Mus musculus: one gene and its partners. The protein of the gene in region 3 interacts with the protein of the main gene of each other region in a pairwise test. Links are inferred from orthologs where the notes say so. Each region holds a gene or a part of one and is shown on either strand. Other genes may lie near its edges.

Evidence for each region.
Region 1: the proteins of Spg21 (region 3) and Akirin2 interact in binary tests that used the Homo sapiens proteins (3 or more experiments, as listed by UniProt). The two-hybrid records come from large-scale screens. The link is inferred for Mus musculus from reciprocal best matches to the Homo sapiens genes SPG21 and AKIRIN2.
Region 2: the proteins of Spg21 (region 3) and Dtx3l interact in binary tests that used the Homo sapiens proteins (3 or more experiments, as listed by UniProt). The two-hybrid records come from large-scale screens. The link is inferred for Mus musculus from reciprocal best matches to the Homo sapiens genes SPG21 and DTX3L.

The regions. Positions count from the first base shown.
Region 1 is NC_000070.6:34,549,354-34,553,424, reverse strand, and holds the start of Akirin2 (akirin-2), read right to left. Parts: upstream 2,811-4,071; 5' UTR 2,381-2,810; coding exon 2,152-2,380; intron 1-2,151. UniProt on the Homo sapiens protein: Molecular adapter that acts as a bridge between a variety of multiprotein complexes, and which is involved in embryonic development, immunity, myogenesis and brain development.
Region 2 is NC_000082.6:35,936,218-35,940,231, reverse strand, and holds the start of Dtx3l (E3 ubiquitin-protein ligase DTX3L), read left to right. Parts: upstream 1-1,204; 5' UTR 1,205-1,354; coding exon 1,355-1,538; exon of another isoform or gene 1,539-1,762; intron 1,763-3,604; coding exon 3,605-3,855; intron 3,856-4,014.
Region 3 is NC_000075.6:65,481,410-65,484,972, reverse strand, and holds part of Spg21 (maspardin), read right to left. Parts: intron 3,113-3,563; coding exon 3,005-3,112; intron 532-3,004; coding exon 391-531; intron 1-390. UniProt on the Homo sapiens protein: May play a role as a negative regulatory factor in CD4-dependent T-cell activation.

The DNA of each region.
Region 1 (4,071 bases), on a different chromosome or scaffold from region 3:
GTCTCTGCCTCCCAAGTGCTGGGATTAAAGGCGTGCCCCACCACCACCCAGCTGATTTGATTTTAGGTTTCAAGATGTGGTCAAACTAGATCAGCTGGCTAAAAGACTAAAAATACTCCCAGTTATTTTACAGTATACTGATTGAGATGTGGAGACTCTTAAACACTCTGCACTACAGCACTGACATGGCAGACTGGGAGATCATTACCGTTTCTGAACAACCTCCCTTAAGTAAAGAAACGTGTCATAGCTCCCTGCTGTGTTAGTATTCAAGATTATTTTAACTGCATAGGGATATATTGTAACTCTCAAACTTATCACTAGCTCCAATGAAATTTATTGCTAGTTACAGCTATTTTAAAATGGCTCCATTAGTAGATAGGACACCATTTCAATGTTCAAATTTAGCATTTCATTAAAAACAAAAAATGTCTGCCCCAAGAATTCATTCTCCAGCCCGGCGGAGGTGGCGCCCGCCTTTAATCCCAGCACTTGGGAGGCAGAGACAGGTGGATTTCTGAGTTCAAGGGCAGCCTGGTCTGCAAAGTGAGTTTCAGGATAGCCAGGGCTACACAGAGAAACCCTGTCTCGAAAAACCAAAAAAAAAAAAAAAAAAAAAAAAAAAGGAATCCATTCTCCACTTTGTTCCCTTGTTTTACAGTAATGACTAAAGCAGGGGGTTCTCAGCGCTCCTGATAAGCCCACCCTTTAGCACAGTACCTCATGCAGTGATGATCCCAACCCTATGATTATTGTTGCTACTTCATAATGTAATTTTGCTACTGTTATAAATCATAATGCAAATATCGGAGCGTTCCCCCGGGGGTCGCGGCCCACAGATTGAGAGCCATTCCTCTAACAACTCGGTCAGGAGTGCCTTTATACACATATGTGGGGGAGGGCAGCTTAGGTATGATCCTTAAATAAACGTCTTGGAATTTCTACGAAAAGTGACTGCAACTCATAAAACAGCTTTTGGCTACGTTATATCAAAAATTTAAGAGCCAGACTAGGTAACTGAGGTTCTCCATGGATTTGGGTATGAATATTTAAATGTGACATTTAAAAAAACACACATGGTACAGTCAATTTCATATAGATGTTACCAAATACAGAACTCTATAGTTCCCATCTTTTTAAAATGAATTACTGAGAAAAAAAAAATTTAAGCTAAGCAAAGGCTTTAAGGATGATATCACTAAGGGCTTACACACACAGGCTCACACACTCTTGCATGCCACACACAAAAGAAACAGACTTACACTTCAAGTCCATTAAAGTTTACCCTAAGATTGTGCCGAAGGCACACAAAGATTTCCAAATGCAGAGGGGGAAAAAAAATCCCTAGGTACACATTTAGTATACAAAAGCAATCAAAGGTCCATCCGGCAGACACTTTGAGAAAATGTTTCAAGACTTCAAGTCTGAAGTCCACTGGAATCTTGATTTATTCGTTACTCTCGAGGCTAGGTTGTTTTCTCCCAACATACTTCATTGGGATAACTAAAGCATTTACAAATAAACTAGTCAGTCTCAATTTGAAGTACACCTTCCTTTTCATTAAAAGTTCAGGATCTCTTAAGGACTGGACGCATAGTGAGATCACATTACAGTACTCGGGAAGAACATTTGCTTTGTTGTTGACCCTGCTAGGGAAACAGGTCTTGACTCAGCCAAAGTGGCGTTCTTGTGGGTGATTAATGACAGGCCTACAACTCGCCCCAGTGACATCCATCCCCCTCCAAACCCCACCCCTTCTATACTAAAACCAGCCAAGTCTAAAATGGAGGAGGGGCTGCCTTCTCGCCTCAAACCACTCAGTCACTGAGTTAATAGCTGCAACCAATCGATTCAGCCCAAGAGACCCGGAGATTCGGGTGAAATGTGACCCTTCTCTCGCCTGACTTATGAATAATATCACCCTCTCTGATCATTTCCGCTGGGGCTCTACATAAGGAAACGATTCTAGGGATCTAGCCCCAAATGATCTGCCTCACAATGAGGGACCCCCACAATGCCGGCCAACCCGACTCGTACCCACCCAACCTGCCGACACCACCCCCACCTCGGTTCAGGCCCTTCCTTCCCTTTGTGTCCGCACCCAAGCTCCCGGCCGCAGCCCACCCCGGCAGCCCCGGGGCCGAGGCCCACCTGTGGTGAGCCGGGAAGAGACGTCGCCGAAGGGGGAAGGCTCCATCCGGAGATACTTCTGCGGCGAGGCGGCCGCGGCCGAGGCGGCGGCGGCGGCGGTGGCGGCGGCAGGGGAGGCGGCAGCCGAAGCCGGCGCCGACAAAGGCGCGCACCGCCTCCGCTTCGGAGATGCGGGGCTCAGCAGCGGGTCGAAATCCAGAGTCCTTTTCAGAGTGGCTCCGCACGCCATGGTGGCGGGCGGCCGAGGCTCGGCTCGGGCGGGGCCGGGAAGGACGGGGGCAAACGGGCCCTCCGAGGTGCCCGGTGGGTGTGGGGCCCGGGACGGCGGAGCCGCGACAGGGCAGGCGGGCGAGGCGCGAGGGTCGCGCCGCCGGCTCGGGGCCGCTCCCGAGAGGCCGGGCCGCCCCCGCCGTGCGCTCGGGCTGAGCGCGCCGGGGCTCCTGCGCGGAGACCCGCTCCCTTCGGAAGTGGACCCGGCCAGTGGCGCGACCCAGACGCGATCTCCGACACGCCGGTGCAGACGGAAGCTCGTGAGTGGCGGCCACGCGCGGGAGCTGCGAGGTAGCCCGGCCGTACAGAGCTAAGCAATGCACTCGACCCTCTCTTCTCCACGGAACAACTCTGCCACCCGCCGCCGGCCCCAATATGGCGTCAATAACAACGCCGCCGATTCAAATCCTGCGGCCCCAGGGCGCCTGCGCACCGGGGGCGGGCCCGCCAGAGTGCATTCTGGGATTTGTGGGGTTTCGTGAAGGGCAGGGATCGGCCTGAAAGGCGGTTACCCAGAAGTCACAGAAACTACGACTCCCGTCATCCAAGGCGCACGATCCCAAGTTCCGGGTTGGAATTTAAATACCCCCTCATAAGTAAGAGAGTTTAAAAAAAAAAAAAAAAAAAAAAGACCTAAGGAAGAGAAAGGAGAGCCTGTGAGACAGTGGGGAAGAGGAAGCGAACCCATTGGAAAAGCAAGCTAAGCACTTTAGAGACCCTGTGAAGATTTGGCATAGTGACTTAAACGGGATATAACAAAGAGCCAGTCTAATATTTGGAGAGAGATTAATTTAGCTGTCAGGAGCGCCAAAAAACCAAATCTGTCACATGGAGGAGATAGGAAATAATGAAAACACCAATTTGGGTCCTCGAGACAGAACGACAGTAATAATATCAGATTACAGGATCTTTGAAGTCTGTGCTTTGCGCTTCCCAGATAGGTACTTGTTTGCTTATTAAATTCTGCATAGCTGAAAAGGAGCACAAAGTCAATTGTTTACTATGAGCAGAGAGCGATCAACACCAGAAATTTGTTGAGTTTGGAAGGCTGGGTGGGGTCTAGGGAAAGGCAAGCAAATAAATGCCTAGGGAGCAGGACCCATCTTTATTAGCAAAGTGGGAAGAAATATTTCTAAAATTTGTTTTTTCATCAACTATCTAAAATAGGGATCGACTACAGCACTGATGAAGTAATTTATGTAGATACTTTATATCTTCTGCCTGTGGATGCTAGCTCTCCACCAAGATTATAAGTATTAATACGCCTAATGCTCACTCTTTTCTGCTTACTCAGAAATCAACATATGTGGCTGCTTTATAGTTGTTTTGGACAATACCTCTCTATATATCCATTTGTTTAGAATTGTTCACCACCACAAAGATCAGCTTTCTTGATCACACTGTATAAGCAACTCTGTCACACTTATTTTAATTTAGAATATAGTTCTTAGAAAGTATCTTTTGAGAAAGACCAGCATTCTATGAAACAGTCACTTAACTAAGACTTGTACTAAGGATGTGTTTATTAAATTATAAAAACTCCAGGAAATCTGTTATTGTGCTGAAACTGACTGGACGTTCATACTTTATGTAAGAGCAGAATAAGAAAAGTTCTTGACTTTTTTTTTTCCTTTGGAGATAAGATCTGAT
Region 2 (4,014 bases), on a different chromosome or scaffold from region 3:
GACCTAAGGATGTCTGGATAAAAATCTGAAGCTCTGGGAAATCGCACTTTCTCATGATTTTAACCTAGTAGCCTAAAAACTAAAATTATGAAATGTTAGACTCATGACTAACACTTACAATAGTCTCTGGGATGATCTGTAATGTCTTTGCAGTAGAAAAACACTGTACAACACGAGAGCACAGCTGGCCATGCCCATCCAGGAGTCACTCGAATACTAACCCCAAACTGGCCGGACAGGATCCGGGGAGCCTGCAGAGGGCAGTATTGCTTTCACACAAGAAAGACCTCTAAGGTTCCTTGGAGGCTGCAGCTGAGAGGTTGCTTTGGGGTGCACTTGTCTGTCTTGAGGCAAGCAGGCCAAAAGCAAAACTTCCTTTTTCCTTGTCCTTTTATATAGGCTGCTACCAGGACGCGTGACCCAGATTTAGGGCGGGTCTTCCAGTCTCAAAAGACCCAATCAAGAAAATCGCTCACAAGCACTACCCAGCTAGCTGGGGTTTTAGCTGATTCCAGACGCAGTCAAAATGACAACCAAGATTAACCATCACCTATGAGCTAAACTATGGTGTTAACCTTTAGAATTAACACACATAATCCCCACTTTATTTCTGTTGACGCTATAGATCTTACAGACCCTTCCTCTTCCTCTCCCTGGCCTGGAACCCAGCCCTCTGGACTTTAGGCTACTGCTGTCCCAGCCTAGAATACTTTCCTCCCCTCCCCCAACCCCTTAAGATACCTCTTGAAACCTGCTCTTTGGCTTTTGCTTTGTTCACAGGTACTGACTGCTTCTGTGCTCAGTTCCTCGTTACCTCCCTCTCTAGGGACTCAGGGAAGCAAGCCGATCTGTGCTATTCGCTAACTTAAGGCCCTCGAGCAGAAAATCCCTAAGGTGCCCAGCTAACAGGAAAAGTACAGGTCACCAAGCAGGTAAACTCTCTCCACTTGAAATCAGAACCGCATCTCAGTAAATACTAGTTACAACAATCATTTCAAAAAGTACAAACAGGTGAAACTCTTTACCCCTCTATTCCGCTCCACCCTTGAGAGGCCTGAACCTGGGATCCGGGTTCCCGCCAAACTTCCGATCCTGCAAGAATAGAAGGGCGACCTGCCACCGTAGGGAAACTTCCTCTGAGCGCCCACCGCCGAGCGTGCGAACTACTCACCGGGTGATGGCTCTGAGAGATGGCAGAGCAAGACAGGCGGCGGCTCTGCGGAGAACAAGGAGGGACCTTCTGGGGAATCGAAACTGAAACTTTGCCTCTCGGGTCTTTAGGGCAGGGCTCGCCTTTGCTCTTCCCTGTCTGTGCAGCGCCCCTGAGCCCCAAACGAGCCAGACGCGGATAGCCATGGCTTCCAGTCCCGACCCGCCGTCCCCGCTACTCGTACGGCTGCGGGAGTCCATCCCCAAGGCGCACAGGAAGCTCGAGATATACTTCCAGAGCCGGGCCTCGGGAGGTGGGGAGTGCTCTGTCCAGCCCGTGGGCCCCAGCGCCCCGGACACCTACGAGGTGAAGTTCCTAAAAAAAGCAGGTGAGCCGGGGCAGGGGAAACAGGGCAAGGCTCGGGTGCAAGGGTAGAACCAGCAGGTTTCCAAACCGATCCCTGCATGCTTCCGACGAGAGCCCACGCGAGTGTGGCTCTCTGTCTGTGGGAGAGTGCGGTCCACAGACTCCCTCCATCCCACAGTGGCGGAGAGAGCCTCGTATGAGTCCAGCCGCTGATGAGGTCGCGGTTCGACTCCATCTGAGAATTTCCCAGCAGACCCAGTTGAGAGAAGAAACAAAGTGTGGGGGTTGGGATTGAGGAGGAAATCCAGAACCTTGTGCACGCTAGGCAAGTGCTCCACCACCGATCTCGACTCCAAGCCATTTTAATGTTGTAAATAAAGATTCCGTTGACTTATTTTTAAGGACTACAAAAGTAATATATGACTTTAAAGAGGAAAGTCAAAGAAAAATTATCTGAAGATAGTTTGGTGGGGTTTGGTTTGGTTTTGGTTTTGGTTTTTGGTGTGTGTGTGTGTGTGTGTGTGTGTGTGTGTGTGTGTGTGTGTGTGTTTGGTTGATTTTAGAGACAGGGTTATTCCTTGTATCCTTGTCTGTCCTGGAACTAGCTCCATAGGCTGACCTCAAACTCGCAGAGATCCTCCTTCCTCTACTGGGATTAAAGGCAGGTGGTGCCACACTAATGTCCTCAATGGGGGCATTTTCATGCATTCTTTTCTGAGAGTCAGCAAATGAATATACATTCTAAACTTTTTGATCTTGTTTCTTTTGGGGGGCCGGGGGTTTCACCATTTAACTATACAATAACCATTATTCAATGTCATTGAAATGAGAGATTCAAAACCATTACAAAACATAGGTTTCCCCACCACCACCCCTTTGAGACAGGATCTTGCCATGTGCCATTGGTTGGCCTTGAACTCATAATACCCCTACCCCTACCACTACCATTTAAGTGCTAGATTGTGAGTGTGTACCAGCATGCCCAGACTAGAAATGTGATTTCTAATAACCAAATTATATTCCTATGCTAAAACTTAAGCTCCCTTCTTTAGAGTTCTGATTAGCTTCTCCTATCACCAGCCTGCTATTCCAGAATGCCAGAAATAACTGTTCAGGTCCTCTGTATGCATTTGACCAGGAGCCTACAACAGATACCACCAAGGGCCAACTTGGTGAACCAATGCATTACTTATTGCATTGGTATTGGTTATTGGATTTACTTACAGGAATATGGGAAACGACTCAAAGGCAACTGCATCACCAAAGCCCACCTAGCATGGGTGACAGCTCACAAAGCTGGGAACCTGGAGCTCACTGCACACCTACAGGCAGCTCAATAGGTTAGGGAGTGTTCTTTCCAGGTGGCTCAGTTGGTCTAAACTTCCTCCTAAGTGGAGCTTAGAGTTCACTTCCTGCAGGCAGCTTCTCTGGTGGTTTAAGTTTTCTTCACAGCTTGTTTTGTCTAAGAGTCTCCTATGCAGACCTTTAATGAGTCCTCACAGCAGCTCTGTTCTGGGAGTCTCAGGAGGACTCTTCCCAACAGTCTCTATTGTTTATTCATTCAGGGAGGGGCCTATGAGTCTGGTCAGTTTCTGGGATTTCCTGAAGCTATTTTGAGTTGTTTACCTTCTTGCTTAAGGAACTTCTTTGCAGGGTGGAATGTTTCAGTCTTGAGAAAATTTACACAACAGTCCCATACCCTATGGTTTATTCAAATAAAGTCTATGGAAGGCGAACCAATGCATTTATAGTAGTGGCACATGCCTTTAATTGTAGCACTCTGGAGGCAGGGGCAGGCAGATCTCTGTGAGTTCAAGGCCACCCTGGTCTACACCAGGAGTTTCAGGACAGCCAGGACTACCTAAGGTCTCAAAAACAAAAAATAAAACAAAACAAAAAAATGAACAACTAAAAAGCATATGTGAGAACATGGGTAGCTTATGTGAAAGTCCTAAGCTTATTAGGGACATCTCTGGAGGTAGCATGCTCAGACGTTTCTAGAATCAACCTACAGGGATACTGAGGATCAGCTATGTAAATTCTCTCTTATTTCTGTGTGAATGTGTATGTTTAATGTCTCCCCTGAAGATAAGGAGAAAGTGTTGAAAAAGAGCGAACACGAGATGTTGGTCCATAACAAACCTGTGACCATTGTCCTGGAAACTACTAAAAAGCCAGTAGAGGACCTGAGACCCAGACTCCCATCCTTGACACAGCCAGTGGAGACACCAAGCTCCAGACCTCCGTCCTTGACGGGGTCTCTGGATGAAGCACTTTGTGATGACATACATCCCCAGGACGGGCTCGTTTCTAACTCTGTTGACTCAGTTGTCCAAAAGGTGAGTGTTGACAGAGGAGCTGATGCTGCCCTGGCATCTGCTCCTCCCTTCCCCTCGGTGTTTTCGGGCAGCCTTGTGCACCCCGGACTGTACAGGGAGGAATGAAGCTTAGTTGGTACAGGTGGATTAGCAAGATCTCAGCCAGCCTGAGTTAGGGAG
Region 3 (3,563 bases):
CCTCCTTAGGATCTCCTTCCACAAGTAGCGGAGAGCATTAAATGGGGCTCGCTCACCAGGAAGGGGCCTGATGCTTCTTGCCAGATTATCAAGGCAGCTACTCGTCACCCCAGTCTAGTAATCTCTTGAGAGGAGGAGGTGGTGTTTTATTTTTGCCATTAGTACGTAATCACATCAAGAAGTCATTTCTGAGGCCTGGAGTATTCCATTTAGATGTGGCGTCTTGCTCTGGCTGCATTCCCTGTCTCCAGGAGGCAAGGTACACCATACTAAGGGCCACTACCTCAGAGTACGATGCAAGGCCTGCTGATCTAGAGGAGGACTATTAGGGAGCACTGTCTTGGGGGGGTCTCTAAAGCGCACATGTTCTGGGGTCCACGCTGGACTCACCTGCACATAAAGATTGACCTCTGCACTCCTGCACAGGTAGGGAAAATTGCCTCCTGTCTTAAGGTGGGCTCTCCGCGCATTAGGGTACAGTTTGTACATTTCTTCCTTGGCTTCTGTTGACAGCGCACTCTGGTCAAACACCTTTGAAAACACACAAGGCTGAAATCTCATGGCATTCTTAGGTCAGTACAAAAGTGTTACCCCACGTTCCTGAGTGTCAGAGCAGCCAGAGATTACTTCCTGGTGCTGTTCCTGGTCATGTCCAACTCCAATGCAAGAGGCTGGGCATGCAGCTGTGGGGCACAATGTTTGCCTAGCATGTGTAAGGCCCCATCCCCTATCCCCATCCAAAAAATAAAACTCTAATTCCAGCTTAAGATCTCAGGTTATAGACTTTGCTGCCAAATGTCTCTCGCCGCTCACATGTAGCTAATTAAATAATAATAGTGAATAATCACTAAAATACCAGTTTCAAAACGATGAAATCTTGGGGCTGGAGAGATGGCTCAGAGCTAAGAGCACTGGCTACTCTTCCAGAGGACCCTGGTTAGGGTCTCAGCACCCACATGGCAGCCACAACTGTCTGTAACTCTAGTTCTAGGAGATACAACACCCTTTTCTGGCCCCACAGCCAGATGATGCACTTACAGACATGGGGGCAAAACACCCACATACAGAAAGTAAAATAATCTTTTTTAAAAAGAAAACTAAAGGCGGGAAGTTCAGACTCTTTCTGGGAGAAGAGCTGAACACATGGTTTTGGACATCTTTCAGATGTTCTCTGAAGCATGCATACAAAATATTTTTTGAAAACATTTTAAAGATAAGCCTATGTGTATTTTGTGTATATGTGGAAACTAGAGGTCAACCTCAGATATCATATTTGTTTTTGAAGACAGGGTCTCTTGATGGCCTGGAGCACACTAAGCAGGTTCGACTGGCAGGTCAGCAAACCAGGAACCTGCCTGTCTGTACCTCCCCAAGGCTGGTATTACAGGCATGTGCCGCCATGCCTGGTGTTGTGTTTTGTTTGTTTGTTTGTTTGTTTGAGTACAGGTTCTGGGGCTGGAGAAATGGTTCAGCCATTAAATGCTGAACTCAAAACCAAAATGTCAGAATGTTAAATGAACCAGAACCCTGGGCATTACTGAGGGAAATGTAAAATGATACAGCCACTGGAAGACACTATGTCAATTTCTCAAAAAGTTTAAAGTAGAATTATGTGTGTGTCACTATGTGTGTGTGGGTACCTGAGGAGGCCAGAAGAGGACACAGCTGGAATTACGGTCAGCTGTGGGGAGCCACGTAGGTGCTGGGAACAGAACCTGCGTCCTCTACTAGAGCAGTGTGTGCTCCCGGCTAATGAGCACACTCTCTGCAGCCCCAAAAGTACAAGATTTAAAAAGGCAAGGACTCAGAGCCTTTCATCCCCATGTGAACTGATACATCCACAATAGTCAAACATTTGACAGATGAAGACATCCACAAGATATAACAGAACACCATTCAGCCTTAAGATAATGATATCCAGATACATTATGGGGCCAGTGAATCTTTTTCAATTTTTATTTTGATATTCATAGGTGTTTTGCCTGCATATATGTCTGTGTACCACCTGCATGCAGGCCAGAGAAGGACGGCAGATCTTCTGAACCATACTTAAAAATGATTGTGAAGCTGGGCGGTGGTGGCGCACGCCTTTATTCCCAGCACTTGGGAGGTAGAGGCAGGTGGATCTCTGAGTTCAGGGTCAGTATGGTCTACAGAGAGAGTTCCAAGACAGCCACTAACAAAGAGAAACCCTTTGAGAAGACACACACACACACACACACACACACACACACACGCAGATCACAATGTGATCTGCCATGTGGGCAACTGGACTAGAACCTGGGGCCTCTACAAGAATGGCCAGTGCTCTAACCAGCAAGCCACCTTTCCAGAATGAATCTTAAAAAACAAACAAAACCAACAATTCTATTTTTAATTCTGTGTACATGTGTGTTCCTCTGTGTGGGTATATGCACGTGAAACCACTAGACATTTAGACATCTGTTGGTGAGAAAATAAAATACTCCAACCCAAGGCTTGAGGGGTACAGCTGAGTGTCTGAGTGCTTGCCTAGCACACAAAAAGTCTGAGTTCTGCCCCCCTCCCCCCCAATGCTTTTTTGTCTTTATTTATGTGTGAGTGTTTGGCCAGGGAGGGCCTGAGATCCCATGGAGGTGGAGTTCCAGATGGCTGGGAACCACCACATGGGTGCTGGGAAACAGACCTGGATCCTGGGCAAGAACAGGCAGTGCTCTTCACCACCAAGCCAACAACTCTCCAGACTGTATTTTTTAACTTCTGGTGGAGGAGAGCAGGGACACTCTATTTATCCCTAGGCTGGCCTAGAACTTGCTATGTAACCAGGTTGTCTCCAACTTCAGTATCTTCCTGCCTCTCTGCCTCTGCAGTGCTGGGATCACAGCATTCACCAGCACACCTAGGACAAGGGTGTCTGTCACTCTTGTAGGTTACTGTGGAATTGAAAAGGCCAAGGTGTGTTGAAAGAAAGAAGCATGGTTAATGTCACCAAATAATGATCTTGGCTATATATTTATAGACTTACATCCATGATGGTGACGGGGATGTCCCGGATCTTATGTGGCTCCACATAGGAATTCTGACAGTTGAGAGTTAGCCTTGAAGCCAGTTCACTTTGACCCAAACTCTCCAGCTGCAGAAGAGGGGGAGATACAGGTAAGAGTTTGCAGGAATTTTGTTCTCGTGCATACAGCAGGTCCGTAAGTGACATGGTGCTTGTGATGTTGGAGATGTGTATGGTGGAAAACCCACCAGTGAGAAAATGTGATCTGAGAGGCTGCGATTGGGGACTCTCGGGTTCGGGCAGTGAGTGGCCTTCTCTGCTGTGACACCCAAGTCAGGCTCTATAAGTGCCACGTGGTCTTCTTTTGGCTACGACCTGTACTGCCTGTTTAACGCAGGTGCACCCTAACTTGTGTGCCTCAAAGGTGACAAATCAGCACGTAAGGCCCTCAGGGACCTTCTGCCCAAGGTTCTGAAATGCTCAGGCTTGCTTATCACACTGACTTGAATGGCTCAGGAGGGAGATCAAGGGAAAACTGACTCTGGCTGAGCATGGCGGCACAGGCCCGCAACCCAACACT